2 linked regions of the Styela clava genome follow. The protein of the gene in region 2 purifies or fractionates together with the protein of the main gene of each other region. This does not show direct contact. Links are inferred from orthologs where the notes say so. Each region holds a gene or a part of one and is shown on either strand. Other genes may lie near its edges.

What was found.
Region 1: the proteins of partner of Y14 and mago-like (region 2) and protein mago nashi homolog purify together in Drosophila melanogaster (affinity purification with western blotting; 4 studies listed by BioGRID, with this or other methods). This does not show direct contact. The link is inferred for Styela clava from reciprocal best matches to the Drosophila melanogaster genes Pym and mago.

What each region holds. Positions count from the first base shown.
Region 1 is NC_135259.1:15,898,822-15,909,355, reverse strand, and holds protein mago nashi homolog, read right to left. Parts: upstream 4,430-10,534; 5' UTR 4,356-4,429; coding exon 4,268-4,355; intron 3,875-4,267; coding exon 3,705-3,874; intron 3,418-3,704; coding exon 3,235-3,417; 3' UTR 2,878-3,234; downstream 1-2,877. Other genes in the region: ubiquitin carboxyl-terminal hydrolase 24-like, read left to right, coding at 246-293. UniProt on the Drosophila melanogaster protein: Core component of the splicing-dependent multiprotein exon junction complex (EJC) deposited at splice junctions on mRNAs. Involved in exon definition of genes containing long introns, including the rolled/MAPK gene.
Region 2 is NC_135258.1:14,691,281-14,702,723, forward strand, and holds partner of Y14 and mago-like, read right to left. Parts: upstream 5,780-11,443; 5' UTR 5,701-5,779; coding exon 5,026-5,700; 3' UTR 3,280-5,025; downstream 1-3,279. Other genes in the region: protein FAM50A-like, read right to left, coding at 647-708, 788-854, 1,554-1,630, 1,714-1,811, 2,208-2,301, 2,559-2,643, 3,122-3,232. UniProt on the Drosophila melanogaster protein: Regulator of the exon junction complex (EJC), a multiprotein complex that associates immediately upstream of the exon-exon junction on mRNAs and serves as a positional landmark for the intron exon structure of genes and directs post-transcriptional processes in the cytoplasm such as mRNA export, nonsense-mediated mRNA decay (NMD) or translation.

The sequences.
Region 1 (10,534 bases), on a different chromosome or scaffold from region 2:
CTAACCTGGTACACACACACTACATGAGTACCCTTCCTACCGGCTAATTATCATTGACACTTGGAAGAAACAACGGAAGAATGGTAACAGAAGTAGGATCCAATCATGACATCTGATCTCGTCTTGCACAGCTAGTCTTCAGAGATTTGAAATTGTAACAAATGTGCATTAGGTTTGGATAGAAATGCTCTTTCAAGGTATTGTTGAATTTTGATTCAATAATCATATTTTACATTGATTTTCAGGTTTCTGATGTACCAGAAGACAATGAGATAGAAGTTGATACGTTGTGAATTTCCACAATGATTACCAATGAAAATATCGATGTCAGTCAACTTACTCATTATCTGCAGCTCGCCAACTATTAAAAAACGAAACGTCAACAATAAATTTGTAACTGCATTTCTAAAATTTGCGGTACTGAATATATCTGTAACGCATACGGTTTGCAGTTTAAAATGCGTAGATAAAATTTATCGCTTGTGCATTGTTTACTCTGAGAATATGTAATTCTTTTATCTCTTCAGATAAGAGCAAATAAGTCTGACTTTTCTTTCATTTCATACATGCCAACCAAATGCCTGATAACATTTCTGTTTATTTTACAAGACACGGGAGGAGGAATTCGTATTGAGATCACTTTTGTAATAATATTAACGTTGTTTTAACTTTTTTTGTTCACTCTTTAATTAAATTCCTTCGTTAAAAGTGCTGCTGCCATGTTGCAAAAGTAATTGAGATTAAACGCATTATGTTGAATTCTGTAGACTGTCGTTATTTTCAGCCCATATATAATTTATGCCATATTACCACTGCCCTTGTGGAAATCTTCAGAAGAAGAATCATAGAAATATGTTGCGTGGTATTTGATGACATACCGGTCCTTGTCACTATTAACCCTTCACTTGCAAAGACTTCCACATTGGCAATCTTGTTGAATATTATTTCTCAGATTTTGCATTGTTGTGTATTTAGTTGGATGTCTGGACTAATTTTAATAACTCTGTGCTTTTTAAAATTTGGTTCTATATTGTGAATTTAGTTTGCTTTTTGAGCAAAACTTGTAATATTTGGTGCTATTAGACTAGAAAATATCGTAATCACTAAAGACGAGACTTATTTAATTATCAAGTTCCTCTTGCGTTTTTAATGCAGTAAATGCATAATTTTATAAAGACTGATTGGTGTGTGAAAAATCTGGGATAATCAGTTTGTATTTGAGGTAGAGCTAAGATCTGGAGCCCGACCCGATATTTCGGGTCGGGCCTGAAATATCAAGCATTGCGTACGGGTCGGGCCTATATTGTTAATCATTACGTTCGGGCCTAAAATGTCAAACATTGCGTTCAGGTTGGGTAGGGCCTGAAAAGTCAATAATTGCGTTCGCGTCGGGCCTGATTTGTCAATCATTAGGTTCGGGTCGGGCCTGAAATGACAATCATTACGTTCGGGTCGGGCTTATATATCGCTGGATTTTTTATAAGTAAATATATGTTTATTAGAAACTATTTTTCAGAGTGGTTCCGATTTCATAAATATTAAATTTCGAAATTTAAAGTTTCGTAGTTCTTTGGATGATGATGCTTATTCATTGCTTTTTAACAGCATACCTCGTTTAATTTAATGTGCCGCACAAGTGGAGTGCAGCGGGACATTTTACACGTTTTTGAATGCCTCTTGATGATAATATGGGTGTCGCTAGGGAATTTCTTAGTTTGCCCAGTAAAACCTTTAGCTACCCTCTATCTATTAGCCCCGCATTGTCAAATGAATGTGCAGATTATAGAGCTCACAAAAGAAGAAATATGTCCCAGCATTCCCCAATACTGTACTAACCTCTTGCAATGACAATTCGAAGAACTCCTAAATAAAATATGAAATTTCGGGCCTGCGAATCCAGTTAATTTGTCGGGCCTGCAAAGCCTGTTAGTTAGTCTGGTCGGGCCTGCAAATCCATTTAATTAGTCGGGCTAGGGTCGGGTCAGGTTTTATTACCCACGGGCCCAGGTCGGGCCTGCAAATCCAGTTAATTAGTCGGGCTCGGGTCGGGTCAGGTTTTATTACCCACGGGCCCGGGTCGGGTTTTAATACCCACGGACCAGGGTCAGGTCGGGCCTGCAAATCCAGTTAATTAGTCGGGCTCGGGTCAGGTTTTATTACCCACGGGCCCAGGTCGGGCCTGCAAATCCAGTTAATTAGTCGGGCTCTGGTCGGGTCAGGTTTTATTACCCACGGGCCCAGGTCGGGCCTGCAAATCCAGTTAATTAGTCGGGCTCGGGTCGGGTCAGGTTTTATTACCCACGGGCCCAGGTCTGGCCTGCAAATCCAGTTAATTAGTCGGGTTTAATACCCACGGGCCGGAGTCGGGTCGGGCTGGAATTTTTTAGCCCGATCTTACCTCTAATTTGAGGGTGAAATTGTCATTTGCAAAGCAATTTTGAAACCAGCTTCTCAGTGTGAGACTTGAGTGCCTGAGCCAGAGTAATGTTCAACCTGCGATGAGTGAAGATTTTGAAATGGTGTCACAATTTCAGACTTTGAAATTGGAGAGATCAACTGGTAACTTGAGCCAAAACGAACTTTTTTCAGACTTATAACGAAGCATGCTAGCGATATATCAGAGCGGTAGAACCAAATTGCTTTTGAGGATATCGAATTTTAAGATAAGTCTAGTTGCAGTAGCCAAATTGAACACGAGGCACTATCTCCATTCAAAACTAATCTAGTCCATTTCTGAAAAAATGTGACATAAGCTGCTTTGTAGGAACAATCTGACTGACCAGCCAAACCGATGAAATCTTTAGGGTGACAAAGCTGACAATCATCCATTAAACGGGAGCTTCCTAGACTTGTTGGAAGATTTTGAAATAGATACTCTTTTGCTAAACCTTGTGATCTAAAAATTTATTTCAACAACCATTTTAATGAAAAAAGCAGTGGGAAAGTGTAAACCTTCCAAACAAAAAGTCGTTGGTATTGACAATAGTCTGTGCGAAGTATGAGACACATCAAACTGGTCCCATTATTCATTTGATCAGACTTTATGCATAAGCTGATATAATAATTGATATCAACCAGAATTTTTTTTAAAATGGATAAAAAAGCGTTTCTGAAGTAAGAAACTACAGTACAAAGTATTTGGTGGGAATTCAAACCCACATTGTTCCACGACAAATTTTGCCACATCTGCTCCAGCCAAGGTCTTCATCCATATCAGGCAGCACTTTCTATTATTTAGATTGGCTTAATTTTGAAGTGCAGTCCGATGAGTGAAAACACAAGACATTTTAAATCCTGGACGAGATAATAAAAAGTACGAAGACCATCAGAATCTTTACAATCATTGACGTCAATCAGAGATCCTATTTTGGATGTTGTAAATGAAATATGATCTTCACCCAATACAATTTCCAGCTCCTGAAAAAAATTTAAAAATTTTAGCGACAACATTTGAACTCAATTATCCCATGTAGCCTATGCTTTCCTGGCCTGAACCTCCTTCTTTTGCAACTATTTTTGAAGTTTCTCAGATAATACTCTTTCAACAGCCAAATAATCACTTTGGTTTAATCTTCCCAATGTATTGCCGATTAGTCATCATTACCAACACAAAAAAGAATGCCAATAATTAATTGAGGAAGCATCCCAATTTGTATTTCTTAAAATTGCAAATGTATGAATTTGAAAGATTTTCGACGCAATACCTGACGTCCGACTCTGTCTGGGTTTGGCCACATTGTGTCATCTTCCTTCATAACCTCAGAATCTTCTATGATTCTTTTTAATTCTTCAAGGACTGCTTTATGAACACAAGCTTCTTTTCTGATCATTGTGTCATTTTTGTAGTTTGAATTGTTGGCATAGCGTAATTTGCCTGAATAGTTGAATTGAAAAAGCAATTATTCAACAGTACATTGTTGTACCATACCTCTAATAGTGAGACTAAAGACTTCACGAAACTTATTCAAAGAAACGTTCGCATTATCAGTATATTATCACACTTTCTGAATTTCTATCGTGATAGTTCCTTAAATTTGGACAAGATTAATTCAGCTAGTGATGAAATTCAGGGTAAAGTGTAAGACATATCTCAGTTACCGGTACCTTATTGAAAAGTCAAATTACCCTTTCCTATTAGTCTAGTACTGTACGGTAGTAAAGAAAAGGCAGTGTTGCAACATTTTTTTTTCAGTTGTCAAGTTTCAGAGTTTATTGATAATTGTGAACAACAAAGACAAGGCAGATATAAGAAAAAAAACATTCTTACCGTCGGGACGAAATTCAAATTCGAGAAATTCGTGTCCAAATTTTCCTTTATGCCCAACGTAATATCGTAAATAAAATTCGTTCGACATTTTCGACTCTAGGCTATCTAATTTACAAAAACGCTCCAACAAGCTGAAATGCGAAATGGCGAAGCACTGCAATTCAAAATACACGCGGTGTCGCACTAATCGTATTCAATGAAGCGTTGAAATAATGAGTTCAAAAATAAATCCATTAGTTGGCGCTCGCGAGTTGAAAAATATTTTGTTGCCGTCATGGGTTTTCGTGGCGATTTCTTGGTTAATAAATGCTGACAGGATTTGGTATTTTACTCATTATTTAGGTTTTACAAATATTTAGTGTTTTTGGTTAGGGTATTATTTCTAACATGTCGCGGAGTTAAACGCTTGAACGCGGAATGGTTTTTAGTTTCCTATTACAGTACAGCAGTATAGTATAGCGACACTTTCTTGATTTGACTTTGCTGATTGTTAAATTTTGTGCGGTTAGTCGGAATTGTGCGTGGTGTTCGGCGCATGTTAGCATTGGGTATACTACGTTTCACTGATTTTAAGATACCAATATTTCAGTAGTTATTTGACCTTATATATTCAATTCTAGGAACATGTCCCAGGTCGTTTTATCTTTTGAGATAGATCTTTTGCCTAATAATCATAGAAGCCTAATAATTACTCAACCAAATATTCATTTCATTATTACATTGAATGTTAAAATTATAAATGTTATAGATTGCACACTTGTATAGTGATATAGAGCTCAGCAAATTTGGGTCAAACGACATCCTGTAACATTCTTTACATCATTCTGAAAATCTTATCGATGCCTAATGTCTTTGTGCTGGTTGTTTTGGTCAGTCTGTCAGTTACTATTTAATACATACAAATTCCATCAGACTGATTAAATATAATTGCAATACAAATTGCTTGTTGAAAATTGAGTAGGTTTGATTTCAACTAAACACGTCTGCCAAAAATTTCATTCTGCACCATATAGTCTTTCTTTTTATTTAAAAAAAAACATGAAAAATCCTATTTTTTTGGACATTATTTAAGCAGTGACCGCTATTGTAGTCTAGTACTTGAACCAATTTCATGAATATTATACTTGTACATTACCATCTTGTTTTTTATATCATTGATTCTAGTTAAATTAGGTTGAATATGCAGAATACTGATATAAATATCTCAAAAATATTACTGGATTTTTATAATTATAAAGCTTTATCAGTTGAACTAATTAGTGGATATGATGACCTTAACTATATCTTGGAATGCGTTGATTTAAGTCACAATTCGGAACATAGAGACAAATATGTCTTGAAGATAGTTAATGTCAATGACTCAAAGAGAGAAAGACTCACTGAAGCTATCATGGACGTATTGAGACAAATTCCTCAATTGCAATTTGAGATTCCTAAACCAGTTACTTGTACAACTGGGGGTTATGTTGGTCAGATTGATACCTCTAATGGAGTTCGAAAAGTAATTTTAATGTCTTATGTCACTGGTTTAGAATACAAAAACCTTAAATTTAAATCTGAATCATTTCTATCTTTTTGCCATGAAATAGGTTTGTGTGCTGGAAAACTGACTGCTGAATTGTTTAAAATAAAAGACCCGCCTTCAGCTTTAAAACGTGTGAATGATTACTATCTTGTACAAAATATGCATATTGAAGATGTGAGGTTAAATATTGTAAATGATGAAAATGTACGTAACATTTGTTCTATTGTTATGCAAAAATTAAAGGATTCAAGTATTAAAAATGAATTTTCCCAAATAAGAAAAGGGGTTATACATAACGATATGTGTCTTGAAAATTTCATTTTTAAAAAACTGCAAAATGATGTCGATAACTATTTAGTAAAAGGGATTATCGATTTTTCGGACATGGGTATTAGTTATTATGTATATGAAGCTGCAATTCCTATTGCGAGTGCAATGTATGCGACTGTGACATCGCCTAATATAAATCCATATGATGCTGCTAAAACTACATTATCTGGTTTTGAAAAAAATTTTAGTCTCACATATGATGAAAAAAAGTTTCTTTTTTACGCTGTGTTAGCCCGTTTTGTATATTTAAGAGTAATATGTGGATATGATGCATGTGTATCAGAACAAACTTCTGAACATGAAATGCATGAATCTGAACCACTCGAATATTTTATCAATTTAATGTGGAAGGATGGTAAAAATAAATGGGATAGTGAATATTGAACAAAAAAGTTTTTATCAGTTCAAAATAATATATATTTTCTAATATACGTTTACGTACCAGGTTTGATTCATTCTTTCGGCTCAAATTGCATTTTATTTATCATTTATCAAAAATTTAAATGCCTCATCAACTGAATGCCACTGAGACTCAACTTCGTGATTAGCTCCACTCGACTGAGTGTTTTGGGAACTTTATTCAACATTGATAAACTGTCCTGTCAAATAGGACACTAACATCTTTTTATTGGTATACCTTATAAGTTAGCATGTCTAGTTTCTTGCTTATGTGTGCATTAGCAGAATTTTTTTTAATGTCGTTTATATGCAAACATATACTACATTTGAAAATGCATAGTCAAATTTCTTTATTTCAAATTTTTATATTCTGCAGTAAATCATTAAAAAATAAATTACAGTGAAATAATATTTTGAAAATAAAATTGCAAGGTACAGGTTATGTAGCATGCTTTAAACCTTATCCAATTACGCCTGTCATATAAAAGGCCAAAACTTTTTAAAGTATTCTAAATTGCTATAATATATGACAAATTAACACATATGGAGATTTTTTTTTCCATAACTCGAATTTTTTAATTGTTATTATTTACACATTACTTTTGTATATTACTGTACTTACTTTGATGTAATTGAATTTTATTCGTTGGAGTGACCAGCATGAATGTGTATTTATAGTTATTTTCAGATTTTATTAACAAAATTATATTCAATTAGAATATAAAATATTTACTCATTTTTGAATCCTAAATTTAATATTTCAAATCTAATATTCAACTGACAGTTACTTAATATCTAATAAACAAACTAGCAGCAATGCTAACTTGGAAGAAAGTCAACAGAATTGCCATTGGACATTCCAGCTTCATTTTAGGATTACTTCACTTGCTCACGGGTGCAGTTAAAACAAAATCATTTGGAAGGGCATTTGCACCAGATTTGTACCATGAAATGGTAATATACGATTACTTTGTAAAATAGGTGAAATATTCATTCAATTGTATTCTTTGAAAAATGTTTTTCTTGATTGTTGTGAAAATAATTGCATTCTTTACGTTTTATTATTAACGATAAGCAAATGACACCCATGTCAGCGCTCCTGTAGTATGTACACCAAGATGGCGGACACCGGAACGTAGTATGTGCACCAGGTTAAAGTTAGGCCATAAGTTTATTTCAATTTTCAATATTTTAGTTCTATTCGAGTTCAGGGACCAGCCAAGCGACTTCCGTAGTATTTGTACCTGAAATTATGGCCTAAGCCTAACCTGGTACGCATACTACATTCCGATGTCCGCCATCTTGATTCACATACTACATTAGTTAGTACCCAAACTTCTTACTTATGCATGATGCTTCGATTTTCCAGTTAGAATAATACTGTTCCAAGAGATCAATTACGCATTTTATAAATGAAATGTTTTCGCCTTTCACTCATAATTAATTCTCATTGGTTTTTTAGACTGTTTATTTCTCTGTTGCTCATGATGTTCTCCCACTATATGAAATTATAAGTCCAATGCGAATGCAAGGAATATTTGCGACATTGGAAATGCTTTGTGGTAAGAAAAATGAAAATAATATTAGGTTCTTTAGATATTTCAATTTTCAAATGTGTTTCAGTAATATAGTTTGATATTTAGAATAGCGAATATATTTCATAGTTGGGTCATTGTTAACAAACAAATCTTCACAAATTAGTATATTCACTTGTTATTTGAATTTTCTCTTAATAATTAAATAATTATTGATGAGGTTTCCAACCTGTGATACCAATTACCAACATAGCTAGTAAGTCCAACACTTAAATCATTAGGGCATCACGGCCGCCAAAAAGAAAATAACCACCATTATTATTACCTGTATGATTGGGCAATGAGACAACCTGGGCTCTAGGCTTTCCAGGTTTTCATGGAACTTATTATTAATTCAAGCAAAATTTTCAGGTTTCATGTTGATATCGAGACAATTGATTCCTTTGGCTGGCATGGTTCTATCACTGGTGTTACTTTGTCACTGTTATCTTCTCAATTTGTTGGATCAATTTTATTGGCACAATCTTACTTTATCATTCGGAGCTTTTATCCTTGCTATGTTTGTGAGGCAGGAACCCTATTGGTATGAAGGCTGAGGGTTAGAATACATATATATATTACTTTTTAGTGATTTTTATGCTGGTTTGGAAATGAAGCTCCTCTTTCTTCTCTCCAAATCATGCTTTTTTAAATTGAGTCTTATTACTTATACCAAATAAAAGAAAGTGTAATGCAGTGACTTATAGACTAATTAACACTTAATAAGTGTTCCAGTTTCTTCAAACCTGGTTAATTAAGTAATCATGAAGTATTTGATTGTCGAAATATTTTTTTACATTTTCTTATATTTTTTATCCAATATTTTGCATTTTTGAAATGTTCAATCCATTAGTACAATTTTCTTGCCAGCCATGAGTCCCATGACCTCTTGTAAGCTATGTTGCCTTATTTTCCTTCCAATAGTGCAATTTTTATCCAACTTTAAAATAAGAAGAAGTCAATGTACATCATGTCATTTGAATATATTGTGCTGTGCACTGACTTTAGAAACACGTCGCCTCGCTTGGCAGATCAAGTATAGACAAGTGTGCAATACTTAAATCAATTATATAAACATGGAGACCAAATGACTGATTATGAGGCTTAGCTTGAGAAAATCTTGCACTTGCAAATTAGGTATTTATGGATGAACTGCCTGGTTTATAGGACCAAAAAAAGTTAAAAAGGAATAAAAATGCTCATATTCTAGTCTTTTCTAGATCTAGTGACTTATTTCAATTGAAATACTGAAAATCTGAAAAGAGTAATGGAAACAGTTTGGCCAATCATTTGTAGGTCCATTTCATGTCCAAGTATATTCTGACCGTTATAGCAGTCCATGTTTTGCTTAATCCATGAAATTTCTTCAACCTATTTGAATCAACACACATTTCTTCTATCTTACTTTACACTGTTTTTTCTCGCTATTTTAGTTTGTAGCAACATACTTCATGTATGAGCAAAATTGTTTTGCGTTATATTGACAATCTTACAGAATCACTATTTGTGTTAGCTATATCCAAAACACTGAATATTTTGTGAATACTTTTTCTAGCATTTTGATTTTTTGTCTTCAATTTTTATTATTATTATTATCATCCAAGCATGGCTAATTATGTGTCCTTGATTCGTTATTTTGTAAGTAAATTTCTGTACGAAAGTATGAAATCTGCAATTAAGGATATTCCAATCTGTCATTCTTTTGACTGCTAGTTATAGAAAGCAGTTTCATTCTGGTGCTACAAATTCTAAAATATCTTCAAAGTGTTTTTATGTGACTGGATATTGATTGATTTTCAAGCATGGCTGTGGAGTTCGGGTAAAACAACCTTTGACCTTTAAAAAACACGACATAGACTAATGGCTTTGGGTTGAACAAATCTGATTTAGTCTCCCAACTCCAGGTTGAAGGGAATTTTGGCTCTGAATTCAGATAGAACAAAACTAGTTCAATGCAATCCCTTTTCAATTATCTGTTATTAAGAATGTATGGTCCACATAATGCCTTTTAACTTTCTGTCATATAAGTTTGACGTCCATTTTCACTATTAATAAGAGCCTGTGAAAATTTCAACTCTGACTGTAAGGAATTAAAAATACGAATCCAGCTCTAATATCAATAAAAACAACTCTAATATGTGATAACACAGCTTTGATTTGAATATTATAGATTTCTGTACTTTCAAATGTTGTATATACAATTCTCGCCACCATGATATTACATTTTTCCCACTGCAGTTTTTTCATATAAATTTTTATACATTCACCATATTATTCAGATATTACATAGTGCAGAGTATGCAATTTTCCCAATAGTATTATAAGCATTTATTTGTCTACCTTGTGCATCTGTAAAAATGGGCAAGTTTGCAATCAATTGTATGAGATTTTTCTTTGGATTGATGTACCTTCTTGGCGGCGGAGTAAAAACTCAACTAC
Region 2 (11,443 bases):
ATTATTGGTTAAGAGTACCAAAAATGGTGCTTTTTATGGAAGGACATTTAAACAAAAAGAGACAAAAATATCATCTCAATCCCACTTTCTTATACCCGTACATTCTGTTTTCCTGATAGTTATGACCTGATTTTCTCCCAAGACTCTGGTCAATTGGTATTTACAAACGTGTACAGTAATTCCCCGCTAACAACATAGTGTCAAAAGCTCTTGGCATATCAGCATGGTAGTTAACTTTGCTTTGAGATAACCTGCTTTGTTAAGGCCAATAAAAAAACATGAGCAAAGAAGTGACTGGAAGTATCTGGCGCCCATCAACAGCTTAAACCTAGAACTGCAGCTTAAACCTAAAACCCAACTCTGCATTTTCTAGTATATAAAAACATCTATTTTGTTCTTTCACCAAAAAATATAACAGCAAGAGGTGAGCAAATGCATGATCACCATACCAGCATGACTGCTGAAAAATTGTACATTGAAACTATTCCAAATCCTATCAACATACAACTAACTACTGACATTATTATGAAAAAAGGAATACTGCCAAGTGACAACAGTATACAGCTAGCTTGTCGCATCTTAGTCGCTGTTTGTAATAGAGTCCTGATTGAAAAAATAACTTCGAATAAAAAATATTGTACTCCACCTTTGTCTTCTTTCGATGGCCAGATCCATCCCAGTAACTATACGTGATTTCAATTTCTTCATCTAAAGATGGTGAAAATAATTATCGAAAATGAATAATCAGTCCAATAAACAATGATCAGATCTATTAGATATCACAAACTTTTAATTGTTTCTTGTTTTTCTTGCCATTCCTGCCTTAATTCTTCTCGTAATCTGTTTTCAGCGGCCTAGACAAAGAAAAACTTTAGTATGTTTTGTTTTCAGTGCGGTTTAGGAGTAGAACAAGGTCAGCATGAAATGGGAATTGAGATTTCACTTTACCATATCTCATTTCCCAGTAGCAGAGGAATAAGGACAGAAGAAATACTTTGTGTTTCATGCAGTTTAAATAATATTGTTTAGTTAATACTTCTTTTACAATACAATTTTATGGACACATTATAAATTATACAAAAGCCAGAGTGCAAGTCGCGGGTAACACATGCTAAGAATCTTTTAAACATTGACCCAAATAACGGTACAAATGTATAATGAGAGAAGAGTGAAGAGACCCAAAAGAGTATATCGAAAAAGGCTGAGAACCTCTGATTTAACCCATACCTGTGACCTAATAGTTTTGTATTTGTTTATAAATAAATATTTATCCCACATTTATGACAAAATGTGGATTGAACGAGTTGATTCCAAAAAATAGTACTTCCTTATCTATACAGTTACCGTACCTCTGCTTGTACAGAGCCATGTTCAGAGTGGAAGCCTTTAATAAGCATTGTATAAAAAATTGAAATTGAGAACAGAATGATTTGGATGAGTGTCATTGACTATTATACAATACATATTATCATGCTCAATTAAGACAAGATCCAAATATTGTCCGTTGGTGAAAAAGTGGAAAAAAGGAAACAAATTTCAGTGAATGTGCTTACCTCTCTGTCTCGATCAGGTAGAAAACTAGTATCAACGTCTGGATTTTTCTTAGGTTTTTTCTTAATTGCTATTTCTTCTGTATAAAGTGAAAAAGTGATTTTATCTTGTGACAGCTCAGAACAAGACTCTTAAACTAGCAACGACAGAAGAAATACATACCTTCCTCCTCCTCTTCCTCATCTTCTGGATCAAATGATAGAGTCGATTTTTGAATCTGTTTTTCCGCTTTCCGTTTTTTCTCTTTTTCTTTCTTTTTTCTGAAGAGCAATAAATTACCGGTACATTTATTACTACGTAATTTGGAGACAGCAGGTTCAAATCTTGGTTTCCCAACTATCTCAGTTTGGGCGTTATCATAATCAATTTAATTGGGTATGCTTAACTGAATGAATAATAGTTGTCTTCTCAAATCTTGATGTTTTTGAGGAATAAGTGGTTATCTTATCCAAGTGGCTATCTTATCTAGAGACTAGGAAGTGTGAAACACCACAAATATTTCAATACTTGTCAGAAGACATTTTTCCTGATTTCCGGAATTATGTTCGTAGTAAAATTTTCTATCTTAGAATGATTGTATTAAAAGAAACAACAGCGTGTTTCTTGTTGATACACACATTGAGAAATATATCAGAGAAAACAAAATCTGAACTTACAATCTTGCTTCTTCATTTGAAGTTGCAATTTGTTTTTCCCTTTCTTTTACAAGAAGATCTTGTCTTGCTTTCATTTCAGTCAGTGTTACAAGACCTATAAAAAAATGGCTTGATAACTTTTCAAGTTGTAATATTTTAAAAATTGGCCACAAGCAGTAAATAGCAGCAAATGGCCATACCAATAGAGCAGTGCTTCTCAAACTTTTTTGCTTGCATGTGCTTTGAGAAACATGTGTATACTGATCATTTAATTTAATAATGTTAATTTAATAAAGTGGGGGTTACCAATATTTAAGCTATCCCTGTTCAAAATCTGAGATGTCAATTTTAGAAAAAGTCAAAAAAACTCACCAATTGTACTGGACTTGAGTTCTGCTTCGACTGCATCATAATGGGCAGAAAATTTATTATGTATGTTTGATTTGATTGCATTTTCCTGAAACGAAATAAAGAAGTTGACATAACACAATAAATACAATCAGAATCTATAAACTATTTGTTCCATCTTTCCCTGGTATATAAGATCTTCCACAATGCAATTGATTAATTATTAATATAGATTATAGCAAGTGTGTTTTAAAGCACAAAGTGTCAAGCACCAAGAATATATCATATGCTAAATTTAAGTTTGTAAGATTTCAACATAAAACATAATTTTGACGCGAAAACATTGATTATAACAAAAAACTATCTGGAGATGTCTAAACATGTTGAAGTTGCAGGGTAATGATCTCGCATTCACCCCCCCCCCCAACTAATCCAGGACAACGGCTAATGAATATTCAGTTTATTCTAAAATAAAGTAGGTCCCCCCACTGAACGCTGCTTGTAAAACGTAATATTCTGAGAGAAAGCATGAAAACGCATAATAAGAAAAATACTTCAACAAGTGCGAATGATGACACTTTACTTACATTAACAATCTTTGCTCTCATGAGTTCTAATTTTTCCTTTTCTTTATCTCTTTTTTTCTGCATATGCATTGCCCGTGTACCTTCACTTGCTGCTCCTTTGTATTGCGCCATGTTTTTGTTGGATAAATTAACAAAGATTGAATTTACTAGATCAAATCTCTGTAAAATAAGGCTATCAAATGATAATAACTCATATTTATTAATGATTGCTGGAATTGAGAGCCATGACAATCAACCAAACAAATAGCGAAAATCGTATCACACCATACTAACAAGTCTAAAAGTATTGTAATTCCCCAAAAGATCATTTCTGAACAATACAAACAAAGAACTCTCAGCCAAGCTGTCAGTTTGCCTATGTTGTTAAATAAATTTTGTGTGTCAAAATATGAATAAGTAACAAAAATAATATATTGATGATTAAAAAGTAACTATTACAAAAATAAACAAATCATTCTCATAGATCGAATGTCTGTCTCCAATATTTTTTCCATGAAAATTTACTCAAAGCAAGGTCGCAGACACTCACGCAGAAGTATAAACTGACCTTTATATAGAATTATTGGTACATTATTTGGTAGTAAGTAATGATTGAAACGAGGCTTGAGTTAAAATATTACAATACAGTTGAAAAATCAGTTTTAAAAAAGTTCCTGGAAAATACAGTAGTATGTCATTTAAGGATTCTTATCTGAAATCAATTTTAATTCATACTTTTTACATTAATTTACTTTGTAAGATTACGCAAAAAAAATTAATAAATAATAAATTTTGGAAATTGTATTTCAAATTTGGAAGATTGAACTTTTATATATTTCATATACAATTTGAATACATTTCATATACAGTTTCATCTTTAATTTTCAAATATCACTTACTTTGTGTATTCAAATTTGTAACTCAACTTTTTTAAACTGTCAAAAATGTCTTAATGTAATTAGGAAGTATTTAATCTTGTATAGTGTAAAATATTGGACAGCCCAATCAATCAAGATTTTCAATTTATATGTCTGATGTAGTATACAGATTCTAAGTTTTAAAATCTAGACAGTTCCAAATAAAGAATTTCATCAGTTTGAATTGTATGGAGGTGAAAGAGAGCAAAAAATAATAGCATACTGAGATGGATAGAATATACTAAGAAACACACATTACAGGGAAACTTCCAAACATAATGCACAAATGCTTGCTGGAAAAAAGATGATAATTTTTTTTCTACCGAATTCATTAAGGATATAAAGACTGCACAGTTTTAAACTCCATTTTTTCTTCTTAGGTCAGATGACAAGCAGGCTTATACCCAATATCTTTAACATACCATCTCAACAAAGTTTAATGATAATATATAAAGTTAACAACTCCTTTGTTTTTTCTTCCTGGGTCAAATGATGGTCATGCAACACCAATGGAGTCTTCAATATGTAATGCCAACATACGTGCGTTTAGACCAGAGGTGTGCAACAGGTGCGACGTGGGCCACAACTGAGACCGCTGAGCATTTTAATGTAACTCTTGTCAACATTTAAACTATTTCCCGTTAAGCATGAAATTATAATCCGACTGTTATTGTTTTAAAAGTCACTAAGATGAGTAAAGATAGAAGTTTTTTTGCTTTTTTCGCTGCACTAAATTTTTTGCTGTTTTTCTCGATGCCTTTCATTACTGCAGGGCTAAGCGATAGTCGCATTCTCTTGTTTTCGTGTGGCCCAGTTAGATTAGATGTTGGTTATGTGGCCCACCGACAAAAATGTTGCACACCCCTGGGTTAGATTAATGCAATAACCAATATGACATTTGGATATTATGGGATACCAATATCATTTTTTATATATCAATGCTAAATTGCAGAACATGTTTCGAACAAATTCAATGCAGCGTCACTAAAATGGGAACCTATAGCAATTCTAAGAACCTTTTTCTAATTCCCATAGTTCTGCTTCGAGACCATCTTGTTTAGCAATTTTTTCAAGTTGCATTTTATCAGGATTCTCTATTACCCCAGAGTCTATTTTTTCTTTGAGTTCTTGAATTTGTCTAAGTTTCTTTTTTAGGTTTTTAATTTTTTTCGCACTGTCGTCATCTTGACTTTGACTGATATCATTAATTGCAACAGAAGCAAGTTTTTCATTTATACTTTTAGTACCATCTGTAACATTTTCCGTTTTAACCGTTTCATATTGCGCAATAACAGAAGCTTTCGTCATCTCGTTTTGCTTCTTCTGACGTTGTTCTTTACGTTTCAAGTTCTTTTTCGCTGATTTGGATAAATTTTTATTATCTGCAGAAGCACTTTCAATTGGAGAACTGAGTTTTTCTAAAGTCGTTCGTTCAGTCGATTTTATCATGGAAACAGGATTGGGATTGGAAGATAAGCCGGGGCATGCTGGAGCATTCGCTCGGTTTCTTGCTGCTCTGTTTTTGTACCGAGCTACGTCTTCATCAGGGACATAACCATCTTTCACTCGTCTTGCTTTTCTCCATGAACCATCTGGACGTTGAGTTGCAGGAATGAATGCAAATCCTTGTGCATCACGCACAATTCCTGCAGCTTGTGATACTTCAAATTTTTGTTCCGCCATCGCTGCTGTCTGATTGCTTGATTATTATTAGATTATACAGAGCGCCTATGCTATATTCAATAATGAGAAAGTTAATGAAACAGTAATAGGAATCCCAAATTCAACAATCAATCTTAATATCATGAGTGTTACTGTTAAGTATTCGGACTCGTACCTCTAGTCAGTCTAGTGGGCGTAGCATAACGATTTTTGTGTCATGTTAATCCTAACCCCCACCTGACTCCGCCATCAAAAAATTACGTCACTACTCTAGGCCCAAGTAGGATAGGATTTACATATTTATCCCGGGGGAGAGGAAAGTCCATAAGATGGCTTGACCATGTAGCGAACCACGGCATCTCGTCCGGTTACCATTCCATGACGGGTATGGGATTAGTTAGTTATTTGTTTTCAGAAGCATGGACTTGATGGTGGAGGAAGCCGTAATCCCAGGGGTTACGTGAACCACCCTACAGCGGCGAGGAGTCCAGCAATACTCTCGCACATGACCCCCACATGGGATTAGAACAGTGGTTCTTAAACTTTTTCGAGCGCGACCCAAATCTGAGTTTTATGAATACTCGCGACCCAATCCTAAAAAACGCAAAATGTGTTTTTAATGTTAGTACAGTTTGACTCAAATACAGACAACTATTTATCAGAAACAGTCCATTGACTCAGTGAGATTGATGAAACTGAAATTTACTTTTTCATTATATCTTCAATACACAGCTCTAATTTACTTAACGCAATGCGCAAGTTGTCACGGGTATCGAAGCGATTGCGAGCTTAGTTTTGATAACCGTCAGTGCCAAATATCCTCGCTCGCACAAGTGCCTTGTCGGGAATTGTAGCAGAAAAGGCGTCCGCTGTCCGTCGCAAACACGACATCCTAGCTGGCCTTCGGTATCTCTCGCAATATACAACTTTTTACTCGTCACATGTGCACGCACTGCTTCGTTCGCGGTAAATGGTGCCTCGAGATGAAGTCACATTTTCTCTAGATATTGAATAATCTAATGTCGAGAAGCGAGCTTTTTCATTGCGTCGTCTATTACAATTTTCATTACCAAAATGACACCCATTTTTGGTTATTTTAATCCACTAAGACGACATTCCATGCGGTCAACACAACGACAAGCGACGTGCATGGTTACCGATGCCATAAAAATAATACACGTGACTGGCATATCAGAATTGTGATGTAACAATGAGCTCAAGACAGTTCTTTCCGTGAATGAAATTTTTTATTTCATTATTTTTAAATACCAGAGTTTAGAAGCTGAATTGAAACATTGGGAAAGCTGAAAATTCGTCCTTCTCCTCTTAGATTGCCCTTGCATTGACGACCTTGTCGCGACCCATTTTTAAACCTTCCGCGACCCATGTTTGGGTCGCGACCCATACTTTAAGAACCACTGGATTAGAACCTGCGAACCCACGTAAAGTAATTAGAGATGCGGTGGCGAGCGTATTCCTAACGCTTAGCACAATGAGCCACACCGCACTGGAAAGGACATTAGACAATTACCCAATATTTATGGAAGAAATTTTTTCTCTCTGCAATCTCCGAATACCAAATACACTAATATTGAATAATACAAAGAAACAATATACTTTCTGACTTTATGGCCCTTGCCTTGTTTTACAAGGTTTGTGTTTATTGTATAATATTGTATAGACTATATATTGGCTATATACCGATATATATACTGATATAATATGTACATAATATTTCTCATGTTTTGAACTTTTTTAAAGATTTTGCTCGCTTTCTCCTTTTATTTATTTGAGTCTTCAAATAAATCAATCTATCTATTGAAGATCCTGTAAGTCAGTAAGTAGGCTAAATAGAAAATTCAGACATTGAATTTTCATATTTTACTGTAATTGTTTTTTTTGTATCGAAATAGCGATACTACTAACACACTTCAGCACTTAGACTAGTTGACACACAGCATACCGGTAGTTACGGTATGCTTGTGATATAATGAGTGATTTATTATCTTTGGTATTTATAATTTATAAGCAAGTTATGTGACTACGTCTACTGGTCTACATGCAGACATGAACTGCACTTCACTTCTTTGCCACTAGAAAAACAATGCAAAATACCATTTTTCGCCAAAATAATCCAAATATATTTAAATGAATGCTAAAATAATCTAGAAAATATTCTATCATCTAAATGGGTATTTATTACATTTAAATTATATATATATTTTTTTTTATGATTCCACAATGTGGATTATGCAATAAATAAAAATCATAATATAATAAACGAATAACAATAATCAGGTATAAATTATACGTAAATTATCTCTCACAAGGCAACACTGAAACAGGGTAAGAAATGGAATGGTTGGCTCCATGACCTTCAACCCCAAGAAAATACCCATTTGCGAGATTGTTGTATGAATCTTATTTCGATTCATTCACAAAAATAAAACAATTTACAGAAAATAAAAAGGGAAAAATAATGAAAAAACAAACAAACTAAATATGAGTTCAGGACTTATTGAACGCGTGCATCCACTAAAAGAGAAGGAAAACAAATAAACATGAATATGGGCGACGGGTCATTATTCAGGGGTCTCCCTTCGTTATCAGATTAGCTGCAATTTGCTCACAAACCCAACACCGTGCAAAATAGCCGTTGCGTGTGTGATAACCAACGACTAACAGGTGATAACTGATTAGTGAGATGTGCAAGTATATGAATATGGAAAATTTATTTCCAAATTTAAAGGTACAATTATATATCGGCGTTCCATGTTTAAAAATAAAGAAAACTGTCGAGTGATTGTCATATTATTGTCTAAAACTTCCATTGCGAGTTGTCAATTATTACGTCTAGGCATTCAAACTTCTGCATATTCACCGAAGGCATGAATCACGTACTTTAGGACTTTAGGTGACTGTTTAGTCACACAAAAGCTCAGTACTATACTGTATAAAGATGTTGCGGTTGCGCTTATCAGGTTTTGCAATAACCGCATGACAAATGACTTTAGTAATTTCTTATTGCTTCAGACAAATAGTTGAGCAAATAAAAATTATCACATCAAAAAAAAACCTTGTACCATTTTTCCAAAACCGGTTCTTGCATCGAATGAAGTACTATATAAAGAATCGAGGTGAATTCATCTGATGGCAAAATGCCGAAGCAACGAAAAGAGCGTAGCCAAGCCAAGAATTGGGGAGGAGGGCAATGATTTTTCAGGACGAAGTTGACTCGCGCCTTTCTCTCTAAACAGGAACAAGGACAAGCAGCCACTGATATCTGACGATATTCTTGAAAAAGCTCTCCAAAGACGTATTTTGTTGTCAAGGTCTCCAAGCTTTTCAAGCGCTCAATTTCATCTAGCTCGGTTGGTTTATTTGGGGAAATAATTATTAGTGAGCCAAAAAATGTCGGGTTATCAGTCTCACGGATGGAGCATAATATTGCCAAAAAAAAACGTAAAAGTTTGTATCTTACTGCAAATGCCAAAATACAATATCGACAACCAGAACGCCGCGGGCAGAGCGTTAGCAGTAAGGCAGGGGTCGGCAACCTACGGCCCGCGGAGTAATATAATCCGGCCCGCGACGCTTGACTGAATTATAGTAACAAAACATCTGTTTTGACGATTTTATTTTTACGTAACTGAATTTATTGTGCGATACGTGCAGACTAAATTATATATATTATAACCTAACAAGTATATAATTCACAATTACTCGTTTAATGAGCCTATACTTTAATTATAATTAGACAAATGGCAACAAAACGCAGAAAAGTTGATGCTAAGTACAGAGGGTTCTTCAATGGCGAAGAAATTATTCAAATGGCATTTTTTGAGAAGCAATGCAATGAGGAAATAAATATACAGTATATATATATATATATATTCCATTCGAGAGATGTATCGCTGCGTGATTTTTGTTATAAAAAGTGTCTTCTTCATAGTAAACTATATCCAAATTTGACAAACCATTCGAAAAAATTCACATCGATGTTTGGAAGTACATATGGATGCGAACAACTATTTTTGAAAATTAACATCAGAAATAACAATCTGAGAACTCGGATTAGTGATTCCCATTTATAAAATGTTTCAATCTTGGCTTCATCCAGTGTCCCATTTAGAAAAGCGTGATGCAACATAAAGTGTCACATTAAATGTCATTTGTAATTTTTTTCTTCAAGTGAGACGACCAAGTTGAGTTCACGAGTTGGTGCAGTCTTCGCGCGCTGCTTAAATTTAACTTCTGATCTGTGTGGAAAAGTATGATTCATCGACCATTCGTTCGGTTTTTATCTTTCTAAAAATATGTGCGGCCCGCTAATGACTTACAACTCTTAATTTTGGCTAGCGAGTGACAAAAAGTTGCCGACCCCTGCCGGAAGGCAAAGGCAAGAGAAGAGAATGCTTTCGCTTAGCCTCAACCCACAGCAATAAAGGTACTGGGCAAAGCGGCGGAAGATTTGACGCAGCGAAAAGTGCAAAAACATTATGTGTTTTTACCCATGTGAGCCGCTTGTTAAACATAAACTGTCAGATTAGGATTTTATCTTTGATGTGGAAAACTATGTTAACAAGTGCCACACTGAATCTAGTTGTGGATGGTGGAACAGGTACATCTTTATTTTTTATTAACTTTTATTTTTTATTAGTTTTTATTTTTTATCAACTACCAGTATGTAATTTTTCATGTTCCCTTTACTTAATAACTTCTATATGGTTGTGTGTGTGAGCGTGTGTGAAATATTTCAATTATTTTAGGTGAGTGAATACGTACCACATCTTCTTGGCAAAACCTTCCATCTTATATACATTCTGTACGTTTTAAACCTTATCTAAGGTTTTGTTCGCTCTCCTAATTTCATAATCAGTTTTTATTTATTTATTTTTACCATTCATTTTATTGTTTTGCTGATTATGGAGTCGAAATAAACTTATACTTATAACAGAGGCAGAAAAGATGGGACCACTGCACCTGTTGGAATAGTAGTTGTTCGTGGAAATTTGAAATTAATGTTGAAAGCATTGAAACGGATACAATGATTTTGAATTGAACTAATCGAAAACGGCAAAAGAACCCGATACCCCAATCCATGATTTGTGCATAGACTGCTATGAAACATTCAATCTATTTATCGAGCTTGTTTTTTCAGTAACCATTTTTTTGTCACTGTGTTATTTTTGTAAGATTTAATGAAATTGAACTAGGCCTACAGCATCACCGTTTTACGTCAGCGAGTGTGTATTATTTCAAAGTTTTGTAGGAAAAGCACTGTTGTGTTACACACACACGTCTCACATTTTAAATTCAATTTTAAAGTATTGCCCGATTTTATATCGTGTTTTTGTTTTATTGTGTTTTGACTGTTTTTCGTGAACGGGCCCTAAACACGTTACTTTAACACGAGTTTAACTTCTTTATTAAGTTATGCGTGTCCTCTGTATTTTGTTTGTTCGTTTGTTGTTGTTTTGTTTTTCGTTTCTATCAGAGTGACCAAATAAAATTGATTGATTGACTAAACAGCTTGCCCGCGGGCCGCCTGTTGCACACGGCTGTTCTCATTCTTTTAAATTGTATCTAGTCGTTCCTGCCTTCTCTCAGTTAGTTCCTAACACATATTATTTTATGTTTTTGCGCTATATATCAATTTTCCCAACAACTTTTATACGAATACGGAACACGGAATTTAAATCCCAAGTTTCATTGCGTCATTGCTGTGGCGCGAACTTCAAATTTGTTAGTCAACAGGAGAGAG